Saccharomyces cerevisiae S288C: one gene and its partners. The gene in region 4 interacts genetically with the main gene of each other region. Each region holds a gene or a part of one and is shown on either strand. Other genes may lie near its edges.

Region 1 (7,307 bases), on a different chromosome or scaffold from region 4:
TAAACTTGAAGGTAGCATTAGAGATATCTTGCAGTTCATTGAATATCCATTTTTGAGGTAGTGAGTTTTTCAACATTTCAATATACTGGAAGATCAAGACAATAACATCGCGATAGTGTGTCAACCCGTTGTCTGTTAAATCTATATCGACAGCAAAAAAAGCATTTCCTTTGGACACAGTATGCCCACCAGCAGATAGCTCATTGGCCCAGCCCAATTTTTTCAAATGTGCTAGTAATGAACCGGACCCTTCATGGCCGATTAAATGACTTAATATCCTCGGTGGCTTGGACTCCCAATGTTCCTCCATATCAGGGACAGTGAAAGAGATTTCTAGTTTTTTCAAATCTTTCACAGGACGGACTTGAATTATTTTTTGCAAATGCTCAGGCTGCATAATAGGTTCCGCATAAAGGGGTACTTCACGACCGTTATTGGCTACATCCTTGAAGAGATCATAAGTCCAATCAGAGAGAGTATCAAGGTCTTCTCTACCAAGAATACATAGCTTCATTAGGTTAGCGGAGTAAAAATTCTTATGGAATTTTAACAGTTCATCTCTAACATTTAGTCCATTTTCCTTTGGCAATGTGCCCAAAGTTTCGATGTTTCCTGTAGAAAATTTGTGATATGGATGTTTTGTATTGGTCAAAGACTTGTCTAATTGGTAAATTCTCCAAATATCATTCTGTAAGTTCTTTTTGTTTTCGCTGTTAACGGCGTTGATCTCTTTATCAGTAGAGTCCTTGTTGAAAAGAGGACAAGAGAAAAACCCTGAAAACCTGTCTAGCGCACCAAATAAATGTTGGTGATTAACCTCAAAAAAATAATTTGTGTTTTGCGATGCTGTGTAGGCATTGGATGAACCACCGTGCTTGCTTAAATAGCTCGAGTATTCGTTTTCGTCTGGAAATTTCTCAGAGCCCATGAATAAAAGATGCTCGCAGAAATGCGCCAATCCAGGTAGGTTCTTTGGATCTTCAAAGGCGCCAATATTGACGTCTAGCGACGCTGCTGCTTTATCTGCTTTTGGGTCCTGGATCAACAGAGCCTTCAGCTTATTAGGTAGCTCAATAAACCGATACGATCTTTCGTCTAAATCCGGCTTTAAAAAGTCCAGATTGAATGTCTTAAAATTGGATGTCATATTATAAGGATTTGTTGTGTAATAGCGTGATAAGCACGTGAATGGCTTGAAGCGTCTTACGGTGAAATTGAGACTGATAGGTGAGAGGTGAACCAATTGAGTGAGGAGTGGTTTAGTTACAAATGCAGAAGAAGAAGCTAAAAGAGATACGCCCATACAGAGCAATATCAAAATGAGCAAGAATGAGGTCTTCCGAATGGTTGGTTCTGACTTACTATTTGATTTCACTTTCTCTGATTCATTCAGGAAGAAAAGGGCGAAGTCCTCGAAATGAAAATTTCAACATCATTAACAGACCGGCGCGCGCCTTTACAATTTAGTATGTACGCCACCAATAAAAGCTGCTTAAACAATAAGCTAGAAAGCCCAAAGGGTGTTAAATAGTACAGCGAACCCTTCAGCAACGGTACATCAACAACCCCTTGAAAAGAATAGAGACAATACAGCTACAGTCATCCCCTTCTCTTGTATTTTTGGCCACAATTGATTGTATTACATCATATTTTGCCTGTGCGCTTCTTCTATCTTTTCCGCATAAACTAGGGGAAACGCGATGAAGAAATGGATTGGCTGAAAAATACAACAATTGTAGTGTTATTCAGTCATTCAACTGACAAAAGTAACAAACACAAGAAACGTCAAGTCCAGTGCAATATGCGAAAGAACACTTTAGATATGGTCACTATAGGTATCGCATGCCTTGTGGGAGTCTACACGGGCACGAGATTTTTCGAGCCCATTGTTATCGATAGATTGCGTAAGGATGGAAACTTGAGAACGGACATTCCCATCCCAGAATACGACGAGGACGGAAATCTGTTAAAGGTCACGCCGTCTTTATCATCCACACCAGCTGCACCACCTACACCACCTACACCTCCTACTCCACCACAACAGTAAGGAAGCGTACTAGAAAATACCTCTATACTTTCTTTTCCTGTATATAGCATCAATAGTAAAGCCATTATAACGTTACAAAAACCTATTACCCGGAAAATTACTATTTATAGAAGCATTGGACCCATGCACCACATGCATTAGGACCCATTATTTCTTTTTTACAATTTTTCCGTTAATTTTTCACGAATTTTTCACCGTTTATAAACACTCTCGAACTTATAAACAAAGGGATGATAAATAGATTTCGCCAGTTGTTAATACACACAGGGTCAAAGCTCACAGCACTACTACACTCGTTCAACACTCGTTATATATTATCATGCGTGCCACCACTTTATTATCTTCAGTCGTTTCTTTGGCATTGTTGTCGAAGGAAGTCTTAGCAACACCTCCAGCTTGTTTATTGGCCTGTGTTGCGCAAGTCGGCAAATCCTCTTCCACATGTGACTCTTTGAATCAAGTCACCTGTTACTGTGAACACGAAAACTCCGCCGTCAAGAAATGTCTAGACTCCATCTGCCCAAACAATGACGCTGATGCTGCTTATTCTGCTTTCAAGAGTTCTTGTTCCGAACAAAATGCTTCATTGGGCGATTCCAGCAGCAGTGCCTCCTCATCCGCTTCTTCATCCAGCAAGGCCTCTTCTTCTACCAAGGCTTCTTCCAGTAGCGCTTCCTCCTCTACCAAGGCTTCTTCCAGTAGCGCTTCCTCCTCTACTAAAGCTTCTTCCAGCAGCGCTGCCCCATCTTCTAGCAAGGCTTCTTCCACCGAATCCTCTTCTTCCTCTTCTTCTTCCACCAAGGCTCCTTCCAGTGAAGAATCCTCTTCCACTTATGTCTCTTCGAGCAAGCAAGCTTCCTCCACTAGCGAGGCTCACTCTTCCAGTGCTGCCTCTTCGACCGTGTCCCAAGAAACAGTCTCCTCTGCTCTACCAACTTCTACCGCCGTTATTTCTACTTTCTCTGAAGGTTCTGGTAATGTTCTAGAGGCAGGAAAATCCGTTTTCATTGCTGCTGTTGCCGCTATGTTAATCTAATTATCTATCACTTTATTTCTAATGGGTTAAGGTATCTATCTTTTATATTTCTTATTTCCTCTTCTTATATGATGCGGATGATTTTATTTCTTCAAAAAACATTTTAAAACTCCTCTTTATTTCGTTATGTTCCAGTTCACTACGACTTCTTTTCTCTTAAAGAGCAAATAAAAGTATATAAATCTATATTAAATGAAAATCAAAAAAATATTTTTTCGATCAGCTCCTTGTTCTTTTCATTTCAAAGTTTTTTACATTGTTACACATGTGCATGAATATATATGTTTGCAGAATATTTTTGGCGACGCTTAACTCGCCATTTCAGTATATGTCGGTGGCGGTACATATCTGGGCAGAGCTTCAGCTTCAACGTGCTCTCTAACTTGACAAAAGATCTGAACAGGATCAATGTTTACTTCAGATTGCTTCCTAATTCCATTGATTCCCCATTCTATCAGTAGCTGTAAACTGAATGTTCTTTTTATCGTGCATGTCTTGAAACTATACAACCTATTGCCGCGATGTCTATAGTCTTCTTCATTAAATACCAACTTTCTTAAAATGGGGTGATCCTTTAACCGTAATTCACATTCAAACATAGAACCATCAAAATTTTCTCGTATTTCGTTTAAGTCCAAAAGAGGTTTATTGGATTTGAGCTGATTCAAATCAATCTCGATTAGCTTCAAAGAAGAGTAATTGCCGTTCGCTATTCCCTGAGATAAATATGTTGTAGTCTCTAGCAAGTTCAGTTGTAGTTTAAGTGGGGTAATTTGCATTTTGCTCAAACTTGCTATATTCCCCTCCATGACTACATAGACCTTGTCAAAATTTTGGCTGCCAGACCTAAACAAGTAGTCTTTCCTGTATATTTGCTTCAAATCTCGACTTCTAACCTCTATTCTCATATTGCTTTCCCCATCAGGCAACCCCATTTTATAAGTAGATGGGAAAACTTTCATACCATTTACTAGGCGAGTAGATTGTCTTGTTGATGTGACTGATGATACCGGTCTCGATCTAATGTCGCCGTTTTCTATCAATATAGAATTAGCTTGAGAAAAGTTCCTGTCACTTTTTATATATCCGACTCCATTAACGACTTTGACGTCCTTTGATGGCACCTTTAAATTTGAACTATTGAAAAATTCATTGTTGGTGACCATACTATTTCCTCTACTATTGTTACTGAAGGCATTAAGTTCTTCATTGTCATCTTCATCAGGTTCTATAATAAGATCTTTTGGCTCAGGTATAAATTCGAACGTCTCGATTTCCCTTATCAGTTTATGGAATGGCTTAAACCAAGATGAAGATTTCCCTAGCTCTAATTGAACTTGCACCATATATATAACTTTTCCAAAAGAGTAAAAATACAAATCCAGATTATCGATTTTATTAAATTCTTGCCAATGACTATTGAACGTAGGTGGGAGTCGGGCATTACTTCTTGTCACAAACGCTACTGTCTTTGCCGTATGATTTTTCAGACATTCAGGCTTTCTGGGAAACTTGTCAAATTGAAAGCTATAATTATATGAACCTGGTTTAACTTTGAACGGCTTGGAGGAGCCATCAAGAGCATTCCATACATTATCTGGAGGGAAAACTCTCTGTTCGAATTTCATTAATGTATGAAAGGATTTGTTGTCTTGGCCCGGCATCATCATGCCATTCTGTTGAAACATGTACTCTTGATCAATTTTTGTTAAGGTCTCTGAGAATCCTTTTAGAATGACGGAAATTTTCCTTATAGATAGCGCTTTTGTTAACTGAAGACTAACTATCCCTGACATTTGATCATTAGAGCTATAAAACTCCCCGTTGTACGGTGGGTTTAAGGATATTGAAATTTTTGGAGCCATGGTTTGACAAACTGTATGGTTCTCAACCTTCTCTAATCAAAAGCAGAATCTTAAATATAAACACTCACAGAATATCCGTTGGTCAATGAAGTAATTCTCCTTTGTACTGGCTGCTTTTTCTCCTCTAGTTTATGTAATTCTACTTTTGGATGGGTGCGACTGCTTTTAATTGATTGAGTGGCGGTGTTAGAAGGGCTGTAGAGTCGAAGGCTTGTTTCTCTCTTACGCACCTCTTGTGAAAAGGGCGTGCACCTTCCCCAGGACCCTCTCTCACCCTCAACCCGCATTTTGCTGAGAATTTTCACCAAGGCCCTAGGTGATATTAGATTCCACCTGACTAATTGCATTACAGCCGACCCAAGGCAATATCAGTTTAATAAAATATCATGTATCTCACCCTCTTCTTGGTATTAGTAAAGAGACGCCTGATCTTGTAACAGTGGTGAAGATTGTACTAGAGCAGAATCAAGAATTTAAAAAGTGTAAAGGCAAGGCAGAGGCGATGTACATAAAACTTCGAAGTAAGAAATATTTAATAGTTCTCGCCACATCACTATGCAGCTATATAAAAACTACTATAAACGTTTGTTTTGTTCCTTACGCACAATATCCTTGCCTAGAAATCGTTTTTGAAATTTAAATTTTTATTACCATTTATTTGATTCGCCTTCAGAAAAATATGGAAGAGTGCATATTTAAAAAGGACTATTTCAGCATATAGTAAAAGTCAGGTTATTTGTTTATTTGCGATATCAGAGTAACTTAAACTAACTATGCAGGGCACTTTTAAAAGGTTTTACCATCCCACGCTTACGCGGATGTCCTTCTTGGATAAATTCCTCAAGCCTATGATGGCAACGGCTTCCCCAAAGGAATACCAGATCAAACAACTGGTCAAGCCAATAGGCTTAACACAAGCACCAAGGAAAAGCACCAAATACTCCCAGGGGAACTCTTTGAGGGATATGTTTGATTCGGAAAAGACAAACCACAGAGTTAAAGAGTTGGCCGTTGAATTCAGCAAATCTGGACTTTATGACGTGCAAGTCTTCCAAAAGACAAAGGGGAAATTGTTTATAGCTCCAGTTTCATATTGGAAAGAAGATAAAGCTTTGTTTTTTCCTCATTTGATAGGAACGGCAATGGATGGTACGAAACAACAGAATATCGAGGATATGTTAAGGGGTAAAACCAGTATAGTGAGGTTATTTAGTACAGCATCTGGCGATAAGTTGAGTAGTTCATACTTCCAAGGAATCGTAGACGATAACAAAAAAACTGACTACTTGACTGAAGCTGATGCGCGTTTAAGTTTAAATGACAGTAACGTCCAAATCATCGAGGTCAATCTTGTAGAAAACGCTGTGAAAAGTGCTCTAGTGAAAACGCTTGCTCGTTGGGCCAATCGCGTTCCATCCTGGCGCCAGCCATTTTATTTCGAATGTTCTAGAGGCCAATGGCCATTTTCCGTCAGGGAAGAGCTCTTTTGCAATAATGTCTTTTCTGGATACGTCTTTCTTGTGGACCAGCAGTTAAAAATTAGGTGGGCAGCTTGCGGGGAGGCTACTCCATCTGAAAAGGAAGCATTGTGGAAGTTTGCCAAACGTCTGTGAAGTTGACGCTTTGTGCGGCGGCCAACAAGGGATGGGCGGCTATTTGGCGATCGTGTTCATTCCCCAAACTAACACGAAGAGCATGAGAGAGAAAAAACAAAAGTGCTTGAAACAGGTAAGACGTTTATCATTGATATCACCAAAGAAATATATAATGCCGGATTCTATTTTTGAACAGCCCTTTGTTTACTGTGGTGTTTGCCACAGAAGAACATCGCATGGAGATCCATTGAGGCTGACCTCATGTGCTCATATCCTCTGTTCGCAGCATTCTCCATTAACATCAAAGGTGTGTCCTATATGCCGTTCGAGCGATATCTCCATCATTAACCTTGTGGAATCTAAACAGCTGCCTACCGACATTAGGATTTTTTTTGAGCCACTGCCCCCACTTTTGGAGTCGTTATATAATGTTTCCCAATTCCAACTGAATGGGCTTTCGAAACAGTGTCAATACTATCAAAATCATTGTTTAAAGTTGAGAGAAAAATGTGCAAGACAACAGCAGCTGCTATATCAGGCCAAAATAGAGTTGGATTCTATGGCGATTCTTAAGAAAAGAATACAGGAATTAGAGTCAGTTTTGAATCATAACAATGTTTCTTCGATGTCAGTTGGTGTGCTACCAACAAGAAATAGCCATCAAAATCATTACCAGCCCCCTCCAACCGTTGATCTGACAGTTGATGATAATAGTTTAGAAGAATTCGAAGCCAAATCCTTTATTAAAAAGTTGAAAAAAAACT
Region 2 (8,491 bases), on a different chromosome or scaffold from region 4:
CAAGCTGTATCTATACTAGCGTGGTGTGCATAATTATTAGAAATTTCAGAGTGACAGAGGGTCTTTGAGTCGATCCGTAACATCTACATGCTCTTGATTTTTTCAGTAAACTTAGATTCTACAACGTCACATAAATCCATCAAGTCCTTTAGCCCTTTTTGAAGAGCATCCACCGCGGTCGTTTCACCGTAGGTTTGAATTCTGATATTTAATAGGTTTTCAGAAGGATGAGGTATCGAGTAACCACAAAATTCTACGTCTGGATTTTTCATTATAACGTAACGAAGGGCATTTCCAAGCGTGTGATCCTCCTCTACAATTTGAAAAGAGGCACTAGTTCCATCTTCAGATGTTGCCTGTGTGAGAAGCTTAATTTTTTCCCTGTCTGGTTCCTCTTCCTGTTCTTCATCGCCAGTCATATCAACATCCTGTTCTTCTTCTTCTTGGATGTGCTTTGGTTCTTGTGGTGTTACCTCTGTAGCGGTCTTTTTTTGTTCGATGTCTTCAGTCATTTGCCTGGTACTTTATGTGAAGTTCAATTTTTCCGACTTTGGATTGATGGCCTTTCCCCAATTCGTTACTTTATACCTCAGCATTAGTATGGTTTTCTTTTGAAATTTTTTTTTTTTCCAGCTCATCGCAGGTGAATATTTCTATCACTTGTTACGTTTACCATTACCCGGATTGAAGTAAATATGATTCACCCCAATAAAGCTGTACAGAAGAGATAAGATGTAGCTTTATTAGAACAAAGTTTATCACGTTGTTGGTACTTAGAATAATCTATGATATTGTTGCGTCTTTTTGAATAAGCTTTCTTGCGTGCCGTTTTTTTCGGTTTTTTTTTATATTTCTGCCCAAAAAACGTAGTTCAAAGAAAAGGAACTATCCCAAAATAGAAGCAAGTTATGTTTAAGGAATTAAAAAATGTACCTATAAAGCACGTTTTTCTGATATGTATATGCCTATGTAATGTAGAAGTTGTCGAATCAGCAATCGTATTGGTCAACCTTGATGGCATGTTCTCAGCACGTTTTGAAGTGGCTATGCATATATAGTGTTCTTTAATCTATTCCTTGCAAGGCTATTCGGACCCCTAATTTTAACCATCGTGCAGTTTAAAGGGATGAGAGAAAAACTAAAAGTTAGATGCCTTGCTATATTCTATAAGGAGGAAAGGAAAGGAAAGCCATTGAAGAAAGAACTGTAGGCATCAGAGCGAACAGATCATGAAGGCTAATGGTTTAGATAATGATCCGGCAAGGACGGGAATGGAAAGAACAGATATAGATAGTGAACACCCAGAAGCGCAACCGTTGCTGAACAACAACCACCGGACCCTTGGTGCAGGATCCGCGAATGGCCCAGCAGTTAATGAAGGTCGTGACATTGAATCCGATGGGTTCATCAAAGATAGTCTCTTTCAAATTCGCAAAGGTTATAGAATCTTTATTCATAACTCCAAATGGATATTAAATATCCTAATTCTAATTAACACCATCTGGCTAGTCACCACTTTGATTTCAGATTTCTTTTTCAATATCAATATTCTTTTCGGATTCAGTAACAGGTACGCAAGTTTTAACGACTTGACTTTAATATTCATCTCGATCATAGCTAATTCTTTCAATCTCTGGTTTAATAAGCTGGGACTGTACTCAGCTTTAGATTACAGCTTAAATGTAACTCTCTGTGTTTTGACGTTGTTCAATCTAGCATTGACCTATCTAATTAAATACACTAGGCAAAGAATCGGCTTTGTGGGCACGTTTACATATTTGTGGACTTCGTTTTCATTTTTTATTGGGGCAATATTAGATTGGTATCTCTTGTTTTACAACAACTCAATAAATGAGCCATTGGAGGAACGCAGAATTGATGATGCTAATATTAGTACTTTCAACGAAAACCATACAAATAGTACCGAAAACAGGGACAGAAGCCAATATGGCTCTGGGTCGCCAACCCCCACCCACCGCTCGCAGCTGGTCCAAAACAAACATACATTGACAGAATGGGTATCCATTGGGTTCAGGAATACTATTAAGTTTTTAATTTTAATATTCTTCGCTTTATTCACCCTGAATACACTTTTAACGACATTGGATACCTACAGATTGACTCACAAATTACCAATAACCGTTCAGTCGCCCTCGTACGAGGCGTTCCATTACGTAGATGCCGCTAAAACCTATCAGTTGCATATAACTTGTTATGGTGACGTATTTGATCAAGAAAACAACACAGATTTGTCTGAAAATAAGAAGCAACCTATCATCTTGTTTGAACACGGAGGTTATGATACTGGTTACCTTTCTGCCACCTGGATTGAGGAACTATATCATTTAGACAAAATTCAAAGATATTGTCTATACGATAGACCAGGGTACGGGTTGAGCGATTCTCCTCCCGCCCCAATCTCTATTGCGATGGTTGCGGAATCTTTAAGGTACGCATTGATCAAAGATGCAAAAATTAAAGGTCCCTTCACTACAGTAGGATACGACCTTGGCGGGCTATTTACAAGAGTATTTACCGCCAAGAATGTCGATATTGTGGATAGCATGATGCTTGTTGAATCATGGCATGAAGAACTATTGTTAAAAAACTACATTCAAAGATTACTACCTCCAGGCCGTGGTGATGGCGACGATGGCGACGATGGCAATGGTAATGATGGGGATGGCCGCAACCATGATAAGACTTGGTTACCTTCGGAGATAGAAAGGCATAACGAATTTAGATTATGGTGGAAAGGCATTTGGTCGAGTTTAGGATGGAGATTACAGACTTCATGGTTACTAGCTCATCATGGGTCTAAAGAACGTATATATGGGCGTGATATGAAATATCAAGGACGTTTCTTGCGTTCCAAGTTTTTGGAAAGCGTGACGAGTTCAATTCTAAGTTACAGAGATGTGACAAACAATGCAGAATCTTTGCAAAATGTGAAGACAAGCATCGTTAGCTCTAAGGAAATGGTGAAGAAGTCGGCATTATGGGGCGATTGGCAAAGAGATTTGACCAAAATTTCTCACAAGACTCAAGAATGGAAAATAGTTGAAGGTGGGCATGAAATATATAAGTATGGTCTGGGCAAACAACAAACTCAAGAAGTCCTATTAAGATTAATAGGTGAGCTTGGCAAACTAACCGAGGATTAACCGAGTTCTTTACTTTTTTTTTAGTTTTATATGTGAAAGCAAAATTGACTGCCAACGATGGAGGTATTGTATTCCTGAAAACAATAAGTCAAATATGTAAACGGCGCAAATATATAAATACTAAGAGAATAATTAAAATAATATTAAGGTACGAGATGTGGAGTTCGGTGGTTTTTCTTTATTTTTCAAACTGTGTATTTTCTTTGACCTTAAGGATGGCTATCAACATCCTTTGAAGTTTCCATTAAGACGCTAAGTTGATCCACCAGTTGATCACCTTCACTTTCCACATCACTTTCATCTTCCTCGTCACTACTTTCAAAGGAGGCCTCCAAATCACAACTTGATCTACAGTTGGGGCAAACAAATTGCGGATATGAGAGCATGACCAATCTTCTTACACAACGGAAATGCCAGCTATGTGCGCATGGTGATATGAAAATTGCTTGACACGGTTTGATCTTACATAGGCAAATCGAACAATCTTCTTCTTCAATACCTGTAGTTAATTTTTGTAAATTCTGCAAACGCTGTAAAGCTTCTTTGTTGAACGAATTTGCCTTTAGTTTCCATGATCTATTTAGCTCAATCCTCATCCTTACACAACGATAGATTTCTTCCGTGCCACCTCTAAAATCCATTCCTAACTGTAAAATATCACCATCACGAAGAGGGGTATCTTTCGATAAAGAGGAAGCGGGTGAGAGCCTTTGGTGATTTAAGAAAGTTCCACTAGATGATTTCACATCCTTTATATACCAGTTACCTTGAGAGTCAACTTTAAAACAACCATGTGTCCTTGAAACAACTTTGGATTTAAATACAACTGGATGATATTGTTCAGGTATTTTAGAAATTGCATCGCGAACACGCTCAGTATAGCGGCCAATAACCAATTGGGATCCAGGGCCAGCCTTTCTTATAATCGGTTCAAAGAATAAACCTTGATTTGTCGTGGACGAACTATCAATAAATGGGGTTAGTCTTATACTAAAAAGACCATGCTTATCTTTCCTTTGCTTCAAAGTGACCTCATCTACATTGAACATATTGTTTGACTCCTCTGCACTTGTTGCAGGTAAATCCAAATGTAAAATTTCGGTCCCATTTGGCTGGTTTGCAGCATATATCAAGTGACGTAAATTCTTATACATTTCCTGACTGTTGTTAACAATAGTAGATCCATCTGCACCACCGACTATATTTCTCGTTGTAGCCGCTGGCGCCATGGAAATTATCGAGGTTGTGGTATTGTTAGTACCGTTAGGCTGCCGCTGATTCAAAGACTCTTGAACGTTACCAACATTGTTGCCTTCGAAATTATGCGCAGATGATTGCTGGTGGTCTGTGGTTGTAGGGGCAGTGAGAGATATGGAGATGGGGAGTTGATAGTTGCGATGAACGTGGAACTGGGCCGACAGAGGCATTTGTATAGGATGATGCAGACGTGGTTCCTGCTGTTGCGGAGCGGTATCGATACTTTCCATGGCCACACTCATATGTGAGTTAGATGGGGTTGTGCCGAATAGACGCTGATCAGGAGCCGCAGAAGAAGAAGCTGTCTGGCTATTTTGCCTAATTCCGAAGGTATTCAAAAACGAACTGATACCCGACGCCGGACGAGCCCGCTCATTGGATGGAGTACCACTGGCTCTGTTCCTTGGGTTTATGCCACTACTGCTAGTGGTGTTGGCATTTGATGCGGATGAAGAGTTGGACGTCATCGATGAAGTTGGTGCAGTGGGAGCAGGGGTATTAGCAGGGATAGGCGTGTACATTTCCACGGTATATCCTTTGCTGAAAGCTTCAAACGTATACAATGCGTTGCTATACTTTCTCGACTTCTTTTCAAATCAAAATATATGCCCACGTTTGGAGTCATCAAGTATTGTGTTTGAAATTCCACAACAATGGTTGATGCCTTCGCCGTCGACCGTGATACATTAATCTGGCCAAAACAAAAAAAGGAATCATGATAAGATGATTCATTGCTAACTACGAAACGAAGCAATATAAAGATAAGTTTTTGGATTCCGATACATAATCATATAGGCATGAATATATTTTTATATATGTGTACACTGGGGCAAGGGAGATCACAATTTGCTCAAATCAGTGGGCGTCGCCTTAGTGGACACAATTTCGTCGTACAACAATGTAGTCAAAAATTCACTGAATTTCTCGCCTCTGATTTCTGGCAAGAAATACTTAGCGGCCAGCGCGAATTTGTTCTTGTCACCCAATGGACTTGCCTTAGACAGTCTTTCCACTTGTTCTTTTAGAATCTTTTCGGTTAATTCTGGGGTGACCTTTTCTCCCGTGTCCTTTAGAGTAACACCGTGTTTCACCCATTGATACAATTGACAACGAGACACTTCAGCAGTGGCGGCGTCTTCCATCAAGTTGTTGATGGGCACACATCCAGAGCCTCTGAGCCAAGCTTCCATGTACTGCAACCCGATATCCAAGTTTTGTACAATTCCCTCGGTAGTAATCTCACCATTTGGAATTTTGGTTTCCAGCAGATTAGCAGCCGTTACAACGTTTTCAGGAATGAAATAGATTTGGTTTGGTGTTCCCATATTAATGAAAACTTCATTACAAATAGGGGCCAGTGCTGGGTGTGCAACCCATGACCCATCATGTCCATTTGTCAGCTCTCTAATCTTATCATTACGGACTTTAGTCATGGCCTTTTCATTGGCTGCCGGGTCGTCTTTGATAGGGATTTGCGCAGCCATACCACCCATGGCATGAACACCCCTCCGATGACAGGTATTGATTAATCTTTTCACGTATGCATCCATGAATGGGGAAGTCATAGTCACTTGATTTCTATTGGGCAAAATGTGATTAGGATCATTTCTTAATCTCTTGATTGTAGAGAAAATATAGTCCCAACGTCCGCAATTCAACCCACTAGAATGTTGTCTTAATTGATAGATGATCTCTTCCATTTGGAAAGCAGCAGGCAAAGTTTCAATCAACACAGTAGCTCTGATTGTACCCCTTGGGATCCCAATGTAATCTTGAGCTACACAGAAGACGTCGTTCCATAGTTTAGCTTCCAAGTGGTGCTCCATCTTTGGCAAATAGAAGTAAGGACCTTTGCCCAATTTGATTAATTCTTTGGCATTATGGTAGAAATATAAACCAAAATCAAAGATGGAAGCGCTGATTGGTTCATCATCTACATAAAGGTGCTTTTCCACCATGTGCCAACCACGGGGTCTCACGATAATAGTGGGCAAGTTGGCCACATTTCCATTCAATTTGTACGATTTTCTTGGTGTGTCAAAATCGATTTGATTTCTGATCGCGTCGTAGAGATTAACTTGACCGTAAACCATGTTGTTCCAAGTAGGTGAAGCTGAATCTTCAAAATCAGTCATATAGGTGTTCACAGGAGCATTCAAAGCGTTGATCAGCATATTTCTCAATGGAGGCCCTGTGATTTCCGTTGACCTATTAATTAACCCCGGTGCCAAAATTGGACCTTGCCAAGTGGGATCATTTCTAATATTTGCAGTTTCAGGCAGGAAATCCAGATGATAGGAGCCCGAGTCTAATTTCTTCTGAACAACTTGTCTGTTTTCCAATAATTGTTTTCTCTTGTTGTTGAAAGTTCTGTGTAAAAGAACAATGAACTCTAGAGCATCCTTGGTAAGAATATCTCCCACTGTAGTACTAGATGGTTTAAAGAAAGGCTCCTTATCAACATCCACCAGTAATTTGACGTTATCCAAACTGACCTTAACCATTTTCTTAATTCTTTTATGTGCTTTTACTACTTTGTTTAGTTCAAAACAATAGTCGTTATTCTTAGGTACTATAGCATAAGACAAGAAAAGAAAAATAAGGGACAAATAACATTAGCAGAAGTACGGTATATTTTACTGTTACTTATATACTTTCAAGAAGATGAGTTAAATCGGTAGCCAGTGTAGAAAAATAATAATAAGGGTCATCGATCCTTCGCATTTTATTATCCAATTAAAGATACGAATCACGGCAAACTATATTCAAAGCTCATAGATAATCGTCGTAAGGCTGACACTGCAGAAGAAAAGTCATAATTTGAATACTAGCCGGTATGAAACTGTGATTGATTAACCTGGGGTTACCTAAAGAGAACATAAGTAATACTCATGACAGAATCAAAACACAATACAAAATTTATCCGAACCTCGGCCCGACTGCCGGCTCGCCGGGAAAGGGGACAACCGCTTCTATCCGTCGACTAACTTCATCGGCCCAATGGAAGCTATGATATGGGGATTTCCATTGAGCCGATAGCAATGTAGGGTAATACTGTTGCGTATATAGTGATAGTTATTGAATTTTATTACCCTGCGGGAATATTGAGACATCACTAAGCACGAATTTTACGTCTGAGGAAAGTTGAATGATGGCAAAATAACCAGGAAAAACAAATATTGAATCCTTGTGAAGGATTCCACAGTTGTTTAATCCTCCTTAAGCTCACTTAGTATCAATTGTCTAAATAATATTGCTTTGAATCTGAAAAAAATAAAAGTACCTTCGCATTAGACAATGTCACTGCCGCTACGACACGCATTGGAGAACGTTACTTCTGTTGATAGAATTTTAGAGGACTTATTAGTACGTTTTATTATAAATTGTCCGAATGAAGATTTATCGAGTGTCGAGAGAGAGTTATTTCATTTTGAAGAAGCCTCATGGTTTTACACGGATTTCATCAAATTGATGAATCCAACTTTACCCTCCCTAAAGATTAAATCATTTGCTCAATTGATCATAAAACTATGTCCTCTGGTTTGGAAATGGGACATAAGAGTGGATGAGGCACTCCAGCAATTCTCCAAGTATAAGAAAAGTATACCGGTGAGGGGCGCTGCCATATTTAACGAGAACCTGAGTAAAATTTTATTGGTACAGGGTACTGAATCGGATTCTTGGTCATTCCCAAGGGGGAAGATATCTAAAGATGAAAATGACATAGATTGTTGCATTAGAGAAGTGAAAGAAGAAATTGGTTTCGATTTGACGGACTATATTGACGACAACCAATTCATTGAAAGAAATATTCAAGGTAAAAATTACAAAATATTTTTGATATCTGGTGTTTCAGAAGTCTTCAATTTTAAACCTCAAGTTAGAAATGAAATTGATAAGATAGAATGGTTCGATTTTAAGAAAATTTCTAAAACAATGTACAAATCAAATATCAAGTATTATCTGATTAATTCCATGATGAGACCCTTATCAATGTGGTTAAGGCATCAGAGGCAAATAAAAAATGAAGATCAATTGAAATCCTATGCGGAAGAACAATTGAAATTGTT
Region 3 (7,988 bases), on a different chromosome or scaffold from region 4:
ATACCAACCTATTATTGTTGAATCTACAGGTTTTTCGTAGTATATGACAATAATAACTCGAATTCTGCTAAGAGAACATCGTTTATAGTACTATTTTAGAAGACTACTAAATCTACGTACGATAGTGTGTTGAAATACTTGTAAAAAATCAGACCAAGGAGGCCAAGTCTCTTCTTATAGTCTTTCTGGACTCTTCATCTTGCTGGACAGAGGCCCAGATGTCGTCCAAAGATAACAAGCTTTGACCCAACTTCTCTTTCTCCAAATTAATAAACTTTTCTATCTTCTGTGGCTCGTCTGCTACAAACATTTGAAAGATTATCAGGGAAATACTCCTTAACGCCTTGTGTAGATGATCCCCCGTGGTGGTACCTTTCCTTGTAGCCTTCCGTGCCCATTGGTCAAAATTGCCCATATACCACTCCCAGATCGTTTCACGAACGACTTGGTCTTGAGGTTTCTCGTTTTTGTTCAGCCTCTTCTTAAAGTTGTAATTAAATCCGAATAATGCCAGTTCCATCCCCTCTGACTCAATATTGGAAGTGATAAAATTCAAAGTTTTTTTCACGATATCAGAATCTAAACAGAATCCAAGAGATTCTATTGCACCGTTTTGAATCAACATGGCGGTTTCGCTACTGTTTTGGTCATACATATTAATGACATGGTTTGTGATACCAGTACAGGAACTGCGTTTCACCAAATCGAATATTTTCTTCCACTGCTTGATGTTTGCACAATGTTGCGATACGACGACAAGGATTGAGTTCACTAATTCTAACGGTACGCTCGAACGTGGGCCCTGTAATAGATGTTTAAAATAAATTTGACACAATTCAGCACATTTTGCGGAGTTTTTATTTAAAAACAAGACTTGAGACATGACTTTCAACTCGTGAGGGTTTGTGCTTTTATCAAATTCACCGTGGGGCCAATCAATCTTATTGAAAAGGGGAATGACAATTTTTTTCTTTAAGAAAGATTGTAATTTAGAGCTCGTTAAACTGGCACGATCGATCGTTTGCAGAACTTCCAACCCCTTGGAAAGAGGATCCCAATATTTTGATGCAATCTTTGTGGAAGGAGAAGCGATATGGTTTAGTATCTTAAAGAGACCGTGCAAATGAATAGAATTCTGGAAACCCTCATCTCCAATAAACTGCGACAAGTCTAAGAAAATCTTCCGAAGGTCAATCTCGGATAACGTCTCCTCAGTTATTTTATCATTAATCAATGCATAGCACTCTTCGGACTCATATGAAACGCGGTAATAACCTTGGGCTAAATGGTTAATTACTAAGATAGGATAATCGAACTTTAAGGTCCTATCCGTCAATAGTACATTTTTAGTATCCATTTTACCATCTGGCAGAACCCCGAATAAGGGTACCTGATATGGGACATCTTCTAACTGATCCTTTTCTTCAGTAGATAATTGATTGATAAATCTGTGTTGAGTCAATTTTGTTTGCGTTTTCCCGTCTTTCTCTTCTACTTCGACCTTAACGACAGGTAAGCCTGGCGTTCTTGTCCAAGATGAAACAAAGTTTGTAATATTTTGAGACTTCAAAAATTTTCCGATATGATTCCATATATCCATTGGTTTGACGCTTCTCGCATGAAATGTTTTAGTATCTTCAAATACACTTTCCAGGCCCTTTTGTAGATGAGATTCGCCTGTAGCCAATTGCAGGGACCTCAGCATGATAATACCCTTTGTGTATGCCTCAGGATCAAAAATATCGGAGGTTTGAGAATCTATGCCAGTGTTCCGTTGCGCAATCTGAAATATGCTTCTTCCATTAACGTCAGCTGCATCTCTGCACATGGTCGGCTCCACTTGCTGTAGTAAATAAGGTTCCGAGGTCCAATAATGGGATAGGTCACCATTCTGTTCTAGTATGTGGCAAGCTAACCAAGTAGCGAAAGACTCATTAAACCAAAGAGATTCCCACGAGTCAAAAGATATGTAGTTGCCCATCCATTGATGAACGAGTTCGTGGACAATGAGTTGCTGTGCTTGCTCTCTGACGGTTTCATTGGCCAAGGCATTTGGTGGTATGAGCAGGTGGTTTAGTTGGATGGTGATCATACCAAAGTTCTCCATTGCCATGTCACTTAAATATGGTAGTAGGACGAAATCTAACTTTGGCAGAGGGTATGGACATTTAAAATAGGATTCCAACAAAGGTAGATATTTCTGGACTGTATCTAAAGTGAAAGCTGCATTAGCAATATCCCAAGGTGCATAAATTGAAACGGGAATAGTCCTATCACCTTCCAACTTGATTTCCGTTTTCAAAAATTCTAAATCACCAATAGAAAAACCAAATACGGAAGTAGTCATCAAAGGTGTCTTGGCAAATTTCACCAAATGTTTTTGAGAACTATCCAAAGCTTCGACCATCTCTACAGGAGTATTGGAAACGGCTTTATATTGTGCATCCGTTGCAATGTTCAATTGAAAAGTGGACTTGTTTGAAGGCTCGTCAATACATGGGAAAATATTGCTAGCGGAAAACGGTTGGCAGTGAGTAGCAACGACGTGATTATTGGCAGTACCGGTTTTACGATCCATAAAATTGGTTTTGAAAATACCAAAAGTCTTATCATGATGTGTTTTTATGTCACGAATTTTACCCACGTATTGCACGGACAAAATCAGAGGGCAATCGTTGGACAATTGAATAGGAGATTCAGAGTTGAAAATCGACAAATGCTTTCCAGTGTCCTGAGAAATTTTTAGATCAAACTTAGTAGACCCTATGGTGGCATGTGCAGACAACACAATCAAATCCTTGGAATGTAACTTGAACTGGGTAAAACTGTCTTCGATAGAAGCTAAGGTGGTGGAGTTCGGATTGAATTTCAAATGGATTATGGCGGATCCTTTGAAATTGGGCGACGACTGCTTAGGGTCAATTTCTAGACGCAACTCATAGTGACTAGGCACCACCGGATTCTCTAAAGATAACAAATTATCAGACATGATGGTTAGTGATGATCAACCTGGCGTTATATATCCTTTACACGTCTTCGGACCTTTTTTTTGTATAGCACATCCAGGAATGGTTTGACTGCAAAACTCGTTTTTCACTGAAAAATTACCGGCGAATTGTATAATAGAAAGGATCGATTTATACTAAAGAAAAGAAGGATTAATATACAAGACTACAACCAAGGGTGGTACCTCACTTGAAGGGGGTTCTCAAAGTACTCGAGAATTTTGATATTCTGTCCTGTGTGTGCTGAGCCGTTCCAGCCAGTCTTGTTCCAGAAATATGTTGACAAAATTGAAGTTCGTAAATATATATACATTTCATATAATAATTGACAAGCTGATACATACGGTGTGCGGACGGTTACATTAATGCAGGAATCTATAAATGCTATGGCCAGCTGGCGTCCTTCTGTTATGCAGATTTCTTAAAATAATTGGCATATTGGTGGTAAACATGAAATGTGAAGACGTTGCCCCTCGTCATAGGTAAGCGGTGGTCATCACAACCATCAGCGGTGACAATAACACAGCAAACAGTCTTGTTTGACTCTCCTGCCTGCATGGTGTTTGAAAGTGAATCGTCAGGATTTGCAACAACCAATAGTGTACTGCTATTCGCAGGAGCACAAGCTCGCCGGTGGCCCGTGTGGGTTAAGGGAGGAGTTTGTTGACCCTTATTTTGTCGAGTTCCTTGAAGAGGAGTATATATAAGGGGAAACGGTTCTTGCTAAAGTCCTGCTTCTTTGCCCTTTCTTGAAATAAAGGGTATTTTTGATTGGCCAGTAACGTTAATCATTTAATAAAACAAGCAGATAAGGATGTCATCAAGAATAATTGTCGGCAGTGCAGCATTGGCAGCTGCCATCACAGCTAGCATCATGGTCAGAGAACAGAAGGCCAAGGGTCAGAGAAGAGAGGGCAACGTCTCCGCTTACTACAACGGCCAGGAGTACGGCAGTTCAGCACCCCCACAGTTGGGAAAGCTACATAACATAAAGCAAGGCATAAAGGAAGATGCCTTGTCGTTAAAAGACGCGCTTCTGGGCGTATCTCAAAAGGCTAGGGAAGAGGCTCCAAAGGTAACTAAGCGTGTGATATCACCGGAAGAGGATGCTCAGACACGCAAGCAGCTAGGCCAAAAAGCCAAGGATTCTTCCTCGCAAAGCATCTTCAATTGGGGGTTTAGTGAGGCTGAAAGAAGGAAAGCCATAGCCATCGGGGAATTTGATACTGCTAAGAAGCGTTTCGAAGAGGCAGTGGATCGTAATGAGAAGGAGCTCTTGTCCACGGTGATGAGAGAGAAGAAGGCCGCTCTGGACAGAGCATCCATTGAGTACGAAAGGTACGGGAGAGCCAGAGACTTTAATGAGCTTTCGGACAAGCTAGACCAACAGGAAAGGAACAGTAATCCTTTGAAACGCCTGTTGAAGAATAACACGGGTGACGCTAATACTGAAGAAGCCGCTGCAAGAAGTGTCCAAGGCTGGGGTGATACGGCACAGGAGTTTGGTAGAGAAGAGTTGGAGGAAGCCAAGAGAAATGCTTCTTCAGAGCCAAGCGAGGCGCAAAAACGTCTTGACGAGCTGAAGAAGATCAAGGAAAAGGGCTGGTTTGGTTACAACAAAGGGGAGCAAAGCGAGCAACAGATTGCTGAACGGGTAGCCAGAGGTTTAGAAGGATGGGGTGAAACAGCCGCTCAACTTTCCAAGGACGAAATGGACGATTTAAGATGGAATTATGAGAATTCAAAGAAACAACTGGATAAGAACGTGTCCGATGCCATGGACTCGTTATCTAAGGCGAAGGAGGACTTGAAACAGTACGGCAGCCACTGGTGGTCTGGATGGACTTCCAAGGTCGACAATGACAAGCAGGCTTTAAAAGATGAGGCCCAAAAGAAGTACGATGAAGCGTTGAAAAAGTACGATGAAGCCAAGAACAAATTCAAAGAATGGAATGATAAGGGTGATGGTAAATTCTGGAGCTCGAAAAAGGACTAGTTAGATAGCTAATTGTAAAGGGTTGGTTCCCGCATAACATATATACATATTCACATGTTTCTCATTTTTTATATTTGAAATCACATATGGTCTTTGCTGATTATGGATTGGAAAACGGAGTAAATTAGTGGCATTATTGGGGTATACGTGCATACATAAAATACCGTTATATATCTATATATATGGAAAAAAGAGACTTAAATGAATTTTTAGAGTAGGAGAAGAAGGTTGAAGAAATGAACAATCGCGGCCCTTCAGTTTTCTTTATTTGGTTGTGTCTGGATTCATAGAGGTTATTGTAGAGTTTGAATTTGATTTTGAACTTGGATTCGAGTTTGTGAACGCAGGGCTATTTTTGATGTTATTATTAATAGTATTCTTGTGTTTATTAGTATTATTGTGATTATCGTTAACCATGTTGGCAATTGATGGTGGTTGTGCCAGTTGTGACTGCAATTTTTGCTTTAGATTGAGTTTATCTCTTTCAATCATAGTGTTGTCCTCCTCTTCGGAAGAAAACCCTTCACTGCCACTGGATTCCATATGGAATTTGGATTTAGGTTTCCCGATCATAATGTTGGCAGCACTGCCGGGCCTATTGCTGTTTCTTCTTGAACGGGCGCTCCCTGAAGGTGACCTTTGTTGTTTAAGTAAGTACTGTTGGTTCGATGGCGATCTTGATAGTGCGGCCCCCGTAGTGCTTCCAGCGCTGGTTCCCCCATTGGCATTGTTGATCGTTGTGTTAGAGTAACGTCTAGATATGATGAAAGGGTTGGTGAAGTTCATATGCTGAGGTGGTGATGCCGAAGCTGATGGGGGGGAAGGCAAATGAGAAGGAGAATTCAAAAGGGACGACGAGAACGAGTAGTGACCTTGCATTGGGGGTCTTCTCAAGGGGTTCGCAGTTGATGATGTTGATGTCGCATTACTAACGTTGTTATTGTTGTCATCGGACAACATGTCAGCGTAGGAATAAAACCTTAGTAGTCTTGAACCATGGTCGTTGGGAGATCTTGGATGCGCAGGCGACGTTTCGTTATCAAAAGATTGTGACGAAAGACTTCTTGTCCTACCTAGGGCTCTATCCAGGCCGATGGTAGATGGCCTTCTCGAATAAACCATATCAACGTCATCAAGGCCAGTCGTGTCGTCAGTTACAATAGAACAGCCAGCGTCTAATGCAGGAGGGACGAAATTCTCTAAGGTACGACGGTGATCCAGTGGAGTCTGCACAACAAAATCCGGATTGTATGTCTGGTACGATGCTATTGACTCATTAGTCCTAGAAGGTTGCAAATGTAGATTCACAGCAGACGATCTCTGGCTTAAGTTATGGAAGTTCCTATTACTAGAATTATTATGATTGAACAAACTGGTCCTGCTGCTCTGCCTAGAGAGAGAGTTTGCAGCGTTGTTTGACACCGTTTTATAAAGGTATGATGGGTCCTCTACATTTCTTTCAAAAATCATAGAACTCTCGCTCATGGAGGGGGAAGGTGGCATATAATTATTGTCGTTCTCCCTCTGTGCCGCCACGTGGGAGTCGTGGTCTTGGTTGTGGTTGCTGGTATCCATCTTTGCCGTTTACGTTCGCTTTGCTTGAAGGTAGTCTATCACAAAAGCTTTCAGGATCAACCTTTTGCGCCTCAAGAAATTGCATATCACCAAAGGGTGAGTTTAGTCTGATACTGTTTGTTAATCACCTCACGACTGTTGCAACATTAATATGGCGCACACACCGTGTTACGTGATGAAAATAAAGATAATAAAGCGATAGCATAAATAAAATACCATTTAATACGCTTTGTAAAACAAGCACTAACAAGGCGTTGCTTAATAACAAAATAGTCAGCATTCAACAACGTGAGAAGGATAGCTACGACATCTACATCTGCAGTGTTGTTAAATTCGCTGCCAACAACCATTTATATGTCACCATACACGGTCATGCTCTCTTGCACCATTTTTCTCACCTATATAAAGTGAAAAAGTTTTCGATGTCTCTTCTTCCTTCCTAGTAAACTACACTCCATGTGTTTCTGAAAGGGACCTTCAGGAGGTTACGATCAAGTATCTTGTGACATGCAAGAACTTGATGCTTCGATGGGGGAAGTCTTATTTTCAATGTGTTGAAAAGAGTTAATTATGGAACGGTTGGTCATAGCTTTGTACAGCTCAATGTCGTCATGTTTGTAAGGATACAGGCGCGACTTGATCTGCGACTTACTGCTATCAAACGATAAATTATGTTTTTCTTCGTTTCCTTTTTTTTTCTTTTCAGTTTCCTTCCGTTTATTTTTTTGTTGGATTTATCATGATGAGCATTTATTTTACTGCGTTATCGTATTGACGGGGGCTGTTTAAGTACAGTCTGTTTTATAATCTATATTCATTTATATTTTATATTTCTTACCGAGGAAATTGACTCTTAACAGATTTGCTGAAAGGTTCATCTTACAAAAAAATTGGAAAACTTAAACTGAAAAAAAAAAAGTGAAGGAGTACGTGAAGAGCAGTAGCTTTCATAGGAATATGTACAATATCTTGTCTTTGTACTTTGCAAAACCAGCACGCAGCAGGAAGCTCTTGATAATATGGTCGATCACCAGTGGACGCCACTGCAGAAGGAGGTTATCTCAGGTCTGTCCGCGGGATCCGTCACCACATTGGTAGTGCATCCATTAGATTTACTGAAGGTTCGTTTGCAATTATCCGCTACAAGCGCACAAAAGGCCCATTACGGCCCATTTATGGTAATCAAAGAGATTATACGTTCGTCGGCGAATAGTGGACGTAGTGTTACGAACGAACTGTATCGCGGATTAAGCATAAATTTGTTTGGAAATGCCATTGCATGGGGAGTTTATTTCGGTTTATATGGTGTCACGAAAGAATTGATATACAAGTCAGTGGCAAAGCCAGGGGAAACACAGCTTAAAGGTGTTGGGAACGACCACAAAATGAATTCGCTTATTTATTTGTCTGCC
Region 4 (9,735 bases):
TTATGGCTCATATAGGACTAACTCCCCAAAAAGTTCATTCACTTGGAGGTTATAAAGTGCAAGGTAGCAAAAGTCTATTACAAATGCAGGAGCTGTATGAAACCGCCATGCAACTACAAAAAATTGGCTGTTGGTCTATCCTGATTGAATGTGTCCCCCATAAGATGGCTCAGTTCATAACATCTAAACTCTCAGTACCAACAATAGGTATCGGTGCAGGTAACGGTACCAGTGGACAAGTTCTAGTTATATCTGACCTTCTCGGGATGCAAGGCGATTCTGTCCCAAAATTTGTGAAGCAAGCTGTAAATATGACAGATATTGCCACTCAGGGCTTGAAGGAGTACATTGCAAGTGTAGAGGATAGGACATTTCCTGAGAGAGGTACTCATACTTTCAAAGTTAAGGAGGACTTATGGAATGAATTCCTCTCTTCAATTAACGAAAAGTAAAATATATAGATAAAAATCACTGCATAGGGAAAAAAACTTTAAATTTTAGGTATACTGAAGACAACAAAAAATACATAACTTAAAATAAAGGGGCATTGATCCAATGTTGTATAAATACATAGGAAAGTGGTTTGAAAATTGTGTGACATCATACGACTAATTCATCAAACTTAGTGAAAAATTCTGCAATTGCCTTGGTAGCCCACGAGTTGTTGTCTTTATCTAGGTAAGCTAAATGACCACCTAAATCGGTTCTACAATACAAAATACGAGGATTCTTTTCCACGATTGAGTATGGTTGATCTGGGCCGACAACAGGATCATCCCTGGAATTGATAACAAGGGTAGGAACCCGAATTGTATCAACTCTGTTTATTGAGCTGGCCGCTTTATAATACTCCATAGCATTTGGGAAGCCTAAAGCAGGCGCAGTGTACACTTCATCAAATTCCCGGGTCGATTTAAAGCTCTTTGCCTTTATTAGATTTTCAGGCGTGAACATATAGAAAGATGGATTCTTGACTGTGGGAGGATGATCGGGGAGAGAGCCATTTGGAACTCCTAATTCACCCATATTAACCTGAACGGTTCTTGTTAAGAATTGCGCAATATTTTTGGAAAATAAAGTTCTTGACCACCAATCCTGGCTCATCCTAATTGCTGAAAGGAGAAGATCCCAAGGATTGCACAAAGTAGCAGCTGCGGATAAAGGTGATTTATCGCCCTCTTCTCCCAGATAGTTTGCCAGCATCGTAGCACCAAAAGAGCATCCCACAGCGTATAGTTTTCTATCTGGATGTCTTTGCTTTTCTCTTTGCAAAAACTCGCGAATATCCATTGTGTGATAAGCTGTAAATAAATTTCTGGTGGTAATTTTGGAACGTGCACAACCTCTGGTATTTAGGACGACCACTTGAAATCTCCCACTGCGAGACAGGTTTTCAGCAAGAGATCTTATAATCGGCTCATGACTACCACCAGCAAGACCATGTAGAATAACTACTAGGGGTAGATCAACCTCCCGTAGTTCTTCCAACTCATTATCTTTCAGGTACCTTGTACGTGGTTGTAAACGAGGCCATCCTTCTGGATGTGTCGCCTTCTCGTCTTTATCAAATTTTTTTTTATCAAAGCTCGTAGTACTTTGATCGAATTCATAATCCTTTTTCCATGAATCTATGAGCCAGTCAGCGGTGCAAACTCCACCATCCGAGAATTTGACAATTTCCCTGCCGTAGAATACAGGAAATTTCTTAGAGAAATCAGCAGCACCTAAGTACAAAGTTTGCAAAATACCTGTGAACAAGTAAGGACTCAATTTGAATTGGGCACCATTCTTCAACGTTGGGACATATTTGTTAGCGAACTCGTCAAAATCAACTTGCTCCTTGTTGTCTTTTAAATGGAGTTTAATGGAACCATTTTCACCGACAATATGCGAAACTGTACCATTGTATCCCCAATGGAATGGGTTGATTGCTGGCCATTTGGAAACTTCTGACATATCGGAAACTTTTATGAGCTTTGTTTTTTACGCAACTACTATCAATGTAATAATAGAACTTAAAAAACTGCTCATATTAATAATAAACGGAGGAAATACTCGAGGAGCTATTACTTCCAGGGACATCCGATATCTGACGCCTTTTAAAATCTGCACATGCGCAAGATTTAAAAAAAAAAAAGGATCTCGGAACCGGAACGAGATTGCTCATTTTTCGTTCCGTTTCCGCAGGTTTTGCAAATCATTAAGCAGATACACAAGGGTCCTTTTAATGTTTATGTAATTTCGTGCAAAGTGAAAAAAAAAATGGACCTGCTTGGAATAAAATAATAAGTAACATTATGTATATTGATTTGAAAAGACCTCATATATTTACAAGAATATCTAATCGATGTCTAAATTTATTTCTTCCACCATCAATTTTTGAGCCACGGTTCCTTCGTATAGAGATTGGAAGAATTTGATTGACAACAAGTTACTTTCTTTTTTGTTTTCCAATTCTTTCTTAGTGATTTGTTTTTTATCCATAATTATTTCACACGACCTTAGAATTTCACGTGTAGGTACACGCAAAACATCACGTACTTCATTTGAGGTTCTTTGAGCGTTAAGATGAATGTAATCCAGTTCTTGCAACTTTCTTTTGTATTTAATGGAAAGATTCATTGGTAAGGCACGGGGGAGGTCATGAATTAAATACGTAAGTCCCAACAAGGAACCTACCACTATAACCGGAACTGATAACTTCTTGAGTGAGCTCCACGACGATAATTTAATGCCGTTTAATATAATGTTCCCCACAACCTTTGTACTTCCTAGAAAGTACAGCGTTAGAGTGGGAATTTTTGATGTGAAGAGCAATGATGGTCTTGACCAATATTGTGTCAAAGGATAATTTTTCAAACCCAAATACTTCATTAGGCCAATCTGACCCTCGTTAGTTTGTCCTTCTATATCCGGCAGTGGTGCTGTGACAGGTTTCTGCCAGCTTAAGTAAGACAAAAAGCCTTTCCAAGTTGGAGCAAACAAATCAGTTATTGACAAAGATACTTTAAGCCTTTTTCCTATCAAATGCTTCCTTTTTCTAAACATTAGTTCGCTTCTGAAAACACGTTCACACATGAAATCATCACCAAGTTCATTTTTTCCAATCTCATAAATTTTTTTTACCAGTAAATCTGTCTTTTGCTTGGCAAATAATTCACTTGATCCTATTGACTCATCAATCTGATTTGCTATGAACGCTTCTGTTGAAAATATGAAGTCATAAATTTGACCGAGGCCCTGATATTTCGGATATTCGTGTAGCGGAACATCCAACGCATTGAGAAGTGCTTCTTTAGTATTGTTATAAGTCATTGTAATTGTTTGCTCGGCCATTTGATCAACGGAAGTTGTTAAATCATTGCACTTTGCTCTAGCGCTCAAAATTTCAGGTCTCAATGTTTCCAGTTGTTCGTTAATTTTTATTTCTTCTTCACTATACATTTTCATATTAGATTTGGAGATCATTATTATATCGCTTAATAATTTCGATAGATAAGTCTTGGCAGGTAACAATTTAGAAAGTGATCTTTTCTTCAAAACAAAATTGCGTAGAGAATCTTCCAGACTGTCAAAATCCGGATCGGGATCGCTGCTAGAATATGGGTCGTCGTCAGGTTTTCGGTCACCATGATCTTCATTGTCATTTTCATTATGATAATGTGGCAATTCATCTCCGTTTTTGGAAACAAAGTGGACAAAATCAGCTGCACGTTTATATGTTTCTGGGGACAGGTCACGGATTTGCTTTAGGATCAACTCCTTACAACGTTGTTTGTCCCTGATTTTGTCAAATTTTTTCACAACAAAAAACATTAATTTTTTCTCACGAGATGCTAAAGAAATAAACTCCTTGGCAGATAGTGTTAGCTGGTTCTCTGCATTGACAACAAATATAACTAAGTCGATTTCTTCTTGTCGGGACATTACTTCGGCGGTTTGTAACGAGTCCATGTTCAACCCAGGGGAGTCAATTAATGAAATATCAACAGTACCATTCCTTAATAGACTAGTAGAGGCAGGCCTTTTATCGTCCTTTATGTAAATCTTCAGTAAAGCATATTTTCCGTTTTGGGGAACCAAATCGGGAAGTTCTTTCAAAGTGTGTATTTCATAAGTCTTGGGATTTTGTATTGAATACATATCAATGGCTTCCTTGAGAGTCGGAGCAATGTTTAGTGGTATGGCATGAACCTCCTCTATGCCGTCATTTTCCCGAGCCTCTAGTATTTCGGAAAATACATTGGTACATGGTAGCTGATCCTCAGGTAGCAAACGCTGCTTTAATAGAGAGTTGCAAAGAGCTGATTTACCAGTATTTACATCACCTGTGATGAATACTTTAGATGAAACGTCATCCACTCTTTTTTTCAAAGCGTTTAAATGATTTGTCACTGATACGATCTGAGAGTGAAATAATTTTGATAAAGCTTTTTTCTCAATGTTGAAACCGTTCTTTTCTTTGGTATTGTACTGACCATCTAGCTTGATATTCAGTTGTAGAACATGTAATTTTTCCCGTTCATCATTTGCAGCAATAAAAATCGGGCGAATATTATTTTCTTCTTGAAGTTGATCCATAAAAGCTTGTGTCTTTAATATAGATCTTTTTAAAAGTACTCTATTGTTGTTATAATTCCACTGGCTAAGTTGTGAAGAAATTAAGTGTGCTTTTGAGTTGGAGGAACGCAATGAGGGCAACAAATCATCCTCCCTACGCCCCTCTTCACCATCAAACAAAGTGGTACGGTCATCAGTTACTCCATGGAAATTACTGCCTAAAAAATGACCTTCGTTGCGTGAGTAAGTAAGAGTTTGTGGTACTATTGTGGCGGCATCATCGTCCTGATCTGTGGAGTCCTTGTGCGGTTTATTGCTGTCTTTGAATTGTTGTTTTCCTTCAGACATCGTTAAATGAGCCTACCGTTTTGCCTCTATCCGTGATATCAGATAATGTTGCTATGTTCGGATGTACTTTGCTTTATTTATTAAGGGCTACTGTAACCTGCGTTATCCTGTTTCAATAATGCATCGTCCGTCTTAATTAATATTAGCCCGGCCATATTCTTCAGCATGAAAAGCTGTATTTACCCGGACTGCGCACCAACTTTTAAATATTAATCTCCGTTCGGTCTTTGCGCGAGTTATTATACTAGCGCCACGTATTAGTAATACTATAGCTATCTTGCCAGATAAGGGATCACAAGGAATTATATACCGTGGATCACAACTATCCATATCACTCTTCCCAATTTCGCGGAGAAATACTTATGCAGGTTTCCAAATCATTTCCGTAGCCAAAGCTGCCTGTTGGCCACTGTTTTGGCATCTCTCTACATTTTTTTTTTTCATTGATACTTTCAACCCAGACATTCTGTCACCTGGTGAAAAACGACACAAACTCCTTTGTAACAACAATTGCAATTTTAAGATATATGAGAATATTGATAAGGCTAGAAGGATGGTAGTAAGAAAAGTTGTTGTTGGTAATTTTTCAAAAAAGAGTTTCAAGAGCTGGGAAAAGAATTAAGGCAATGGGAAGCGAACCGTTTCAGAAAAAGAATTTGGGTCTGCAAATTAATTCGCAAGAAAGTGGAACAACCCGCTCAACATTTCATTCGCTAGAAGATCTAGGAGATGATGTAATTAATGAAAGCTGGGATCAGGTGAACCAAAAGAGAGCCAATATAGATCATGATGTCTTTCATGAGCACCCTGACTCTTCCCCATCATTGTCAGCACAGAAAGCAAAAACAAAAGAAGAGGAAGTTGCTGTAAAGTCATCGAACTCCCAGTCAAGAGACCCTTCTCCTGATACTCAAGCACATATTCCATATACTTATTTTTCCAAGGATCAAAGACTAATCATTTTTGGAATTATCATTTTTATAGGATTTTTGGGCCCAATGTCTGGAAACATATATATACCGGCTTTACCATTGCTGCAAAGGGAATATGATGTAAGTGCAACAACAATAAACGCTACAGTTTCTGTATTTATGGCTGTTTTTTCCGTTGGTCCATTGTTTTGGGGCGCACTGGCGGATTTTGGTGGAAGGAAATTCTTATATATGGTGTCGTTATCACTAATGTTAATTGTTAATATACTTTTGGCCGCTGTACCAGTCAATATTGCTGCCCTTTTTGTTTTAAGAATTTTCCAAGCTTTCGCTTCCAGCTCTGTGATTTCTCTGGGAGCTGGCACTGTAACAGACGTTGTTCCTCCAAAACACAGGGGAAAGGCCATAGCGTATTTCATGATGGGTCCAAACATGGGTCCTATTATAGCACCCATTGTTGCTGGGCTTATTTTAATGAAAGGAAATTACTGGAGATGGCTTTTTGGTTTCACTTCTATCATGACAGGAATAGCATTGATCTTGGTTACTGCTTTACTTCCAGAAACGCTACGTTGTATAGTTGGTAATGGAGACCCTAAATGGGGTGACAAAAAAGATGAACGTGAAAATAACGAATCTCCATTCTTCGAAGGTAATAAAATATCACATCGGCGTCTGTTCCCAGACATTGGTATCCGTAAACCAGTCAATAATGATGCTTTCTTCCAAGAAAATTTTCCAAAGCCGCCTAAAGCAGGTTTGACACTATATTGGAAAATGATTAAATGTCCTCCAATAATAATCACGTCCGTCAGTACTGCACTCCTGTTCTCCAGTTACTATGCGTTCAGCGTCACGTTTTCGTATTACCTTGAACATGACTACCGTTTTACTATGTTAGAAATTGGTGCTGCTTATGTCTGCCCAGGTGTAGCTATGTTACTAGGATCTCAATCTGGTGGGCACCTCTCAGATTATCTTCGTTCACGCTGGATCAAAAGTCATCCTAAAAAGAAATTCCCGGCAGAGTTTCGTTTATTACTGAACCTAATTGGAATTTTACTAACAATATGTGGCACAATAGGATACGGATGGGCAATCTTCTTTCATTATCATTTTGTGGTTCTTTTAGTTTTTTCCGCTCTCACTGCCTTTGGTATGACCTGGTGCAGCAACACATCAATGACATATTTAACTGAGTTATTCCCCAAAAGAGCTGCTGGAACTGTTGCTGTTAGTAGTTTCTTTCGAAATGTGGGCGCTGCCATTAGTTCCGCTATCATTTTACAGCTCTGTAACGCAATGGGAATTGGATGGTGTTTTACAGGGCTCGGTCTCTGCAGTTCAATTTCATTGATTGGTATATTATATCTTCTCATTTTTCAAAGAAAATATACTGCCAAAGAATTTTAAGAAATAGTTTATGTTTAGCTATAAAATTTAACTTTTAGAATTTTATTATATTATTTAACTTTCAAGAAAATTTTCTCATCACTCATCCCAAGGACTTCAAGAAATAGAACAATGCATCATAAGTTTATGAATTACGTGCATTTGGACCTTCAAAGAATAAAATCGAAGTTATAGTTAATTATATTAAATTAAGCCAAAAGTACATATATCTAAAAGGAAAAAGTATAAAAATTATGCAGGTCCAAGACATACTTAAGCCTTCAAAGAAGAAGCTCTTCTCTTTCTGATTTCGGCCTTTTCAGCCTTTCTTTCAGACAATCTCTTAGCCAACAATTGAGCGTATTCGGCAGCAGCTTCTCTTTGAGCTTGAGCGTTTCTGACCTTCAAAGCTCTTTGGTGTCTCTTTCTTTGCAATCTTTGAGGAGTAACCAATCTTTGGATCTTTGGAGCCTTGGTGTAAGTCTTTTCACCCTTGGTGACTTCTCTTCTGATGACGAAATCACGAACGTCATCTTCCTTGGACAAACCGAAGAACTTTCTGATGTTGTTAGCTCTCTTTGGACCCAATCTCTTTGGAACAGTAGTGTCAGTTAGACCTTCCAATTCTTGTTCACCCTTCTTGACAATGACCAAAGCCAAGACAGCCAAATCTGGACCAACAATGGCACCTCTGACGGACTTTCTCTTTCTTTCACCATCACGTCTTGGTCTGTAACAAGAAACGTTCTTGGTCAACAACAACTTGATTCTAGTTGGCAACAAAACACCTTGCTTCATTGGGAAACCTTGTTTGTCGTTACCACCAGAGATCTTGAAGACGTAGCCCTTGAATTCATCACCAACGGCTTCACCATCGACTTCTTGACCGATTCTCTTGTCGAAGAAAACACGAATACGGTGTTCATCATCAATTTCGAAGGTCTTTTGAGACCCGTTGACTGGGTAAGAAATGTTCAACTGTTATAAATAATACCATTTGTTAGTAAAGTTGTCCGAAGCCAATATCGACAAATTCCAACGAATCCCTGCTGTCCTTTCTTCCGTTACAGGTTTTTCTTATTTTCATTGATATTTCTAAACCCTTTTCGTAAATTCCTTTTTCATTCCTTAATTTGAACTTAGCGAGATATTTTCCTAAGTGTCGGTACGTGTATATTAGAGGGAATTATCTCGTTTAAACAACGTTGTTCTTGAGAATTTTTATTATAGTGCACTAATTTGTGGGTATACGTTTATCAAACAGTCAGAAACAGCCGGTTAGCGCGTGCTGATTCATTAGAATTCTAAGGATTTGGGTGATATTACATACCTTCATGATGGCTCAGTCGTCTATTCACACTGGATAGTTTCAATTAATGACTTCCAAATGTTTTGAAGGGCACACTATTCAAATTAAGATCACTTTTCATAAAGATGAATTTTTCTCCCATCAGGCATTCATTGACCGTGCCCTACAAACCAAGCCAGCCGAGATTGTATCAGCTCCACGCACATAGGATTTTCGCCTGCCCTTGGCCCATACCGAAAGAGTTTCCTAGGATGATGGGCCGGCATGAAGATAAGCGGCCTGTATGCCCGAGACACTGAAAAAAAACAGCAAAAAAATAAGATGTATGGAGTTCAAAGATGTATGGATGCAAGAAAAGAGGTTAATGGTGCAAACTGTAGAAAAAAAAGTAAGGAAATAATTTATTTTTAATAAAATTAACTGAAAAGATACATGTATATTTTTCTCAAATTAATCAATGCAATATGTGATATATTTGCTATCTGGCTTAATGAGATAATTTTTTACATAATTATGTTGAGAAGTTAACAGGGCAGTCTCTATTGTTTTGATCGATTGAGTGCACAAAAATTGGAAGGGGGCCGTGGAGCACTACCTGCAAATTGCTAGAAATTTGCGTCACTACATCTGAAAAATGTACGAGCGACATAATTGTCTATAGCCCTAATTTAGAAGACGTTTGCCTAAATGCGCCAACATACACTCTTAATTTTAAGCGAATGCTTTCTTGTAGTAAAAAGTAGCTAGAAAGCGATTCATTAATCTGGAGAGTTTGTCGAACTCGTGGATTTCAAAGTTGAACTAGCTACCGAGGAAGGAAAAACCACAATAGATGAAGACGGGCTTTTCGGAAATTTAGGCGGTCTTCCAATTGGCGGTTTCAGAAAGAATGTTTTGTTATTTACATAAGTGCTGCCACATCGGCCATTATGATATAAGTCGTCCATATCATTGTTCTTGAATCCCAAAAACTTTGAACGAGAAAGAGGGGAGGACATGTTGCTGGCGAGCATTTGATTGGGAGTGGCTTGTACATCCGTTTTCGGTGATGCGGTTCCTGAATACATTGCTGGCGACCTCTGGCAAGCGTCATTTGTGGCCTTCGGAATATTTAGCTTTAAATATGGCTTCCCTGAGAGCTTTCCTCTATTGCTGTTCAGTTGGTGCAGGTGATGGACCATCGCCTGCACTGGA

What was found.
Region 1: of FZO1 (region 4) and ECM19, a mutation in one rescues a mutant of the other (synthetic rescue), as found in Saccharomyces cerevisiae (one study listed by BioGRID).
Region 2: of FZO1 (region 4) and MLS1, changing one suppresses a phenotype caused by changing the other (phenotypic suppression), as found in Saccharomyces cerevisiae (one study listed by BioGRID).
Region 3: of FZO1 (region 4) and OM45, extra expression of one rescues a mutant of the other (dosage rescue), as found in Saccharomyces cerevisiae (one study listed by BioGRID).

The regions. Positions count from the first base shown.
Region 1 is NC_001144.5:901,358-908,664, forward strand, and holds ECM19 (Ecm19p), read left to right. Parts: upstream 1-1,708; coding exon 1,709-2,047; downstream 2,048-7,307. Other genes in the region: STE23 (metalloendopeptidase), read right to left, coding at 1-1,303; CCW14 (Ccw14p), read left to right, coding at 2,367-3,083; ART10 (Art10p), read right to left, coding at 3,392-4,948; ATP10 (Atp10p), read left to right, coding at 5,722-6,561; SUMO ligase CST9, read left to right, coding at 6,593-7,307. UniProt on the Saccharomyces cerevisiae protein: May be involved in cell wall organization and biogenesis.
Region 2 is NC_001146.8:404,792-413,282, reverse strand, and holds MLS1 (malate synthase MLS1), read right to left. Parts: upstream 6,926-8,491; coding exon 5,261-6,925; downstream 1-5,260. Other genes in the region: DNA-directed RNA polymerase core subunit RPC19, read right to left, coding at 84-512; YNL115C (uncharacterized protein), read left to right, coding at 1,230-3,164; ubiquitin-conjugating protein DMA2, read right to left, coding at 3,374-4,942; DCP2 (decapping enzyme complex catalytic subunit), read left to right, coding at 7,719-8,491. UniProt on the Saccharomyces cerevisiae protein: Malate synthase which takes part in the glyoxylate cycle. MLS1 activity is essential for cells to grow on oleic acid as a sole carbon source.
Region 3 is NC_001141.2:89,800-97,787, forward strand, and holds OM45 (Om45p), read left to right. Parts: upstream 1-3,819; coding exon 3,820-5,001; downstream 5,002-7,988. Other genes in the region: TMA108 (Tma108p), read right to left, coding at 149-2,989; VHS2 (Vhs2p), read right to left, coding at 5,266-6,576; YIL134C-A (uncharacterized protein), read right to left, coding at 6,723-6,926; flavin adenine dinucleotide transporter FLX1, read left to right, coding at 7,596-7,988.
Region 4 is NC_001134.8:584,207-593,941, forward strand, and holds FZO1 (mitofusin), read right to left. Parts: upstream 4,909-9,735; coding exon 2,341-4,908; downstream 1-2,340. Other genes in the region: ECM31 (3-methyl-2-oxobutanoate hydroxymethyltransferase), read left to right, coding at 1-452; EHT1 (medium-chain fatty acid ethyl ester synthase/esterase), read right to left, coding at 601-1,956; DTR1 (Dtr1p), read left to right, coding at 5,535-7,253; 40S ribosomal protein eS6 RPS6B, read right to left, coding at 7,506-8,210, 8,563-8,568; SMP1 (Smp1p), read right to left, coding at 9,300-9,735. UniProt on the Saccharomyces cerevisiae protein: Essential transmembrane GTPase, which mediates mitochondrial fusion.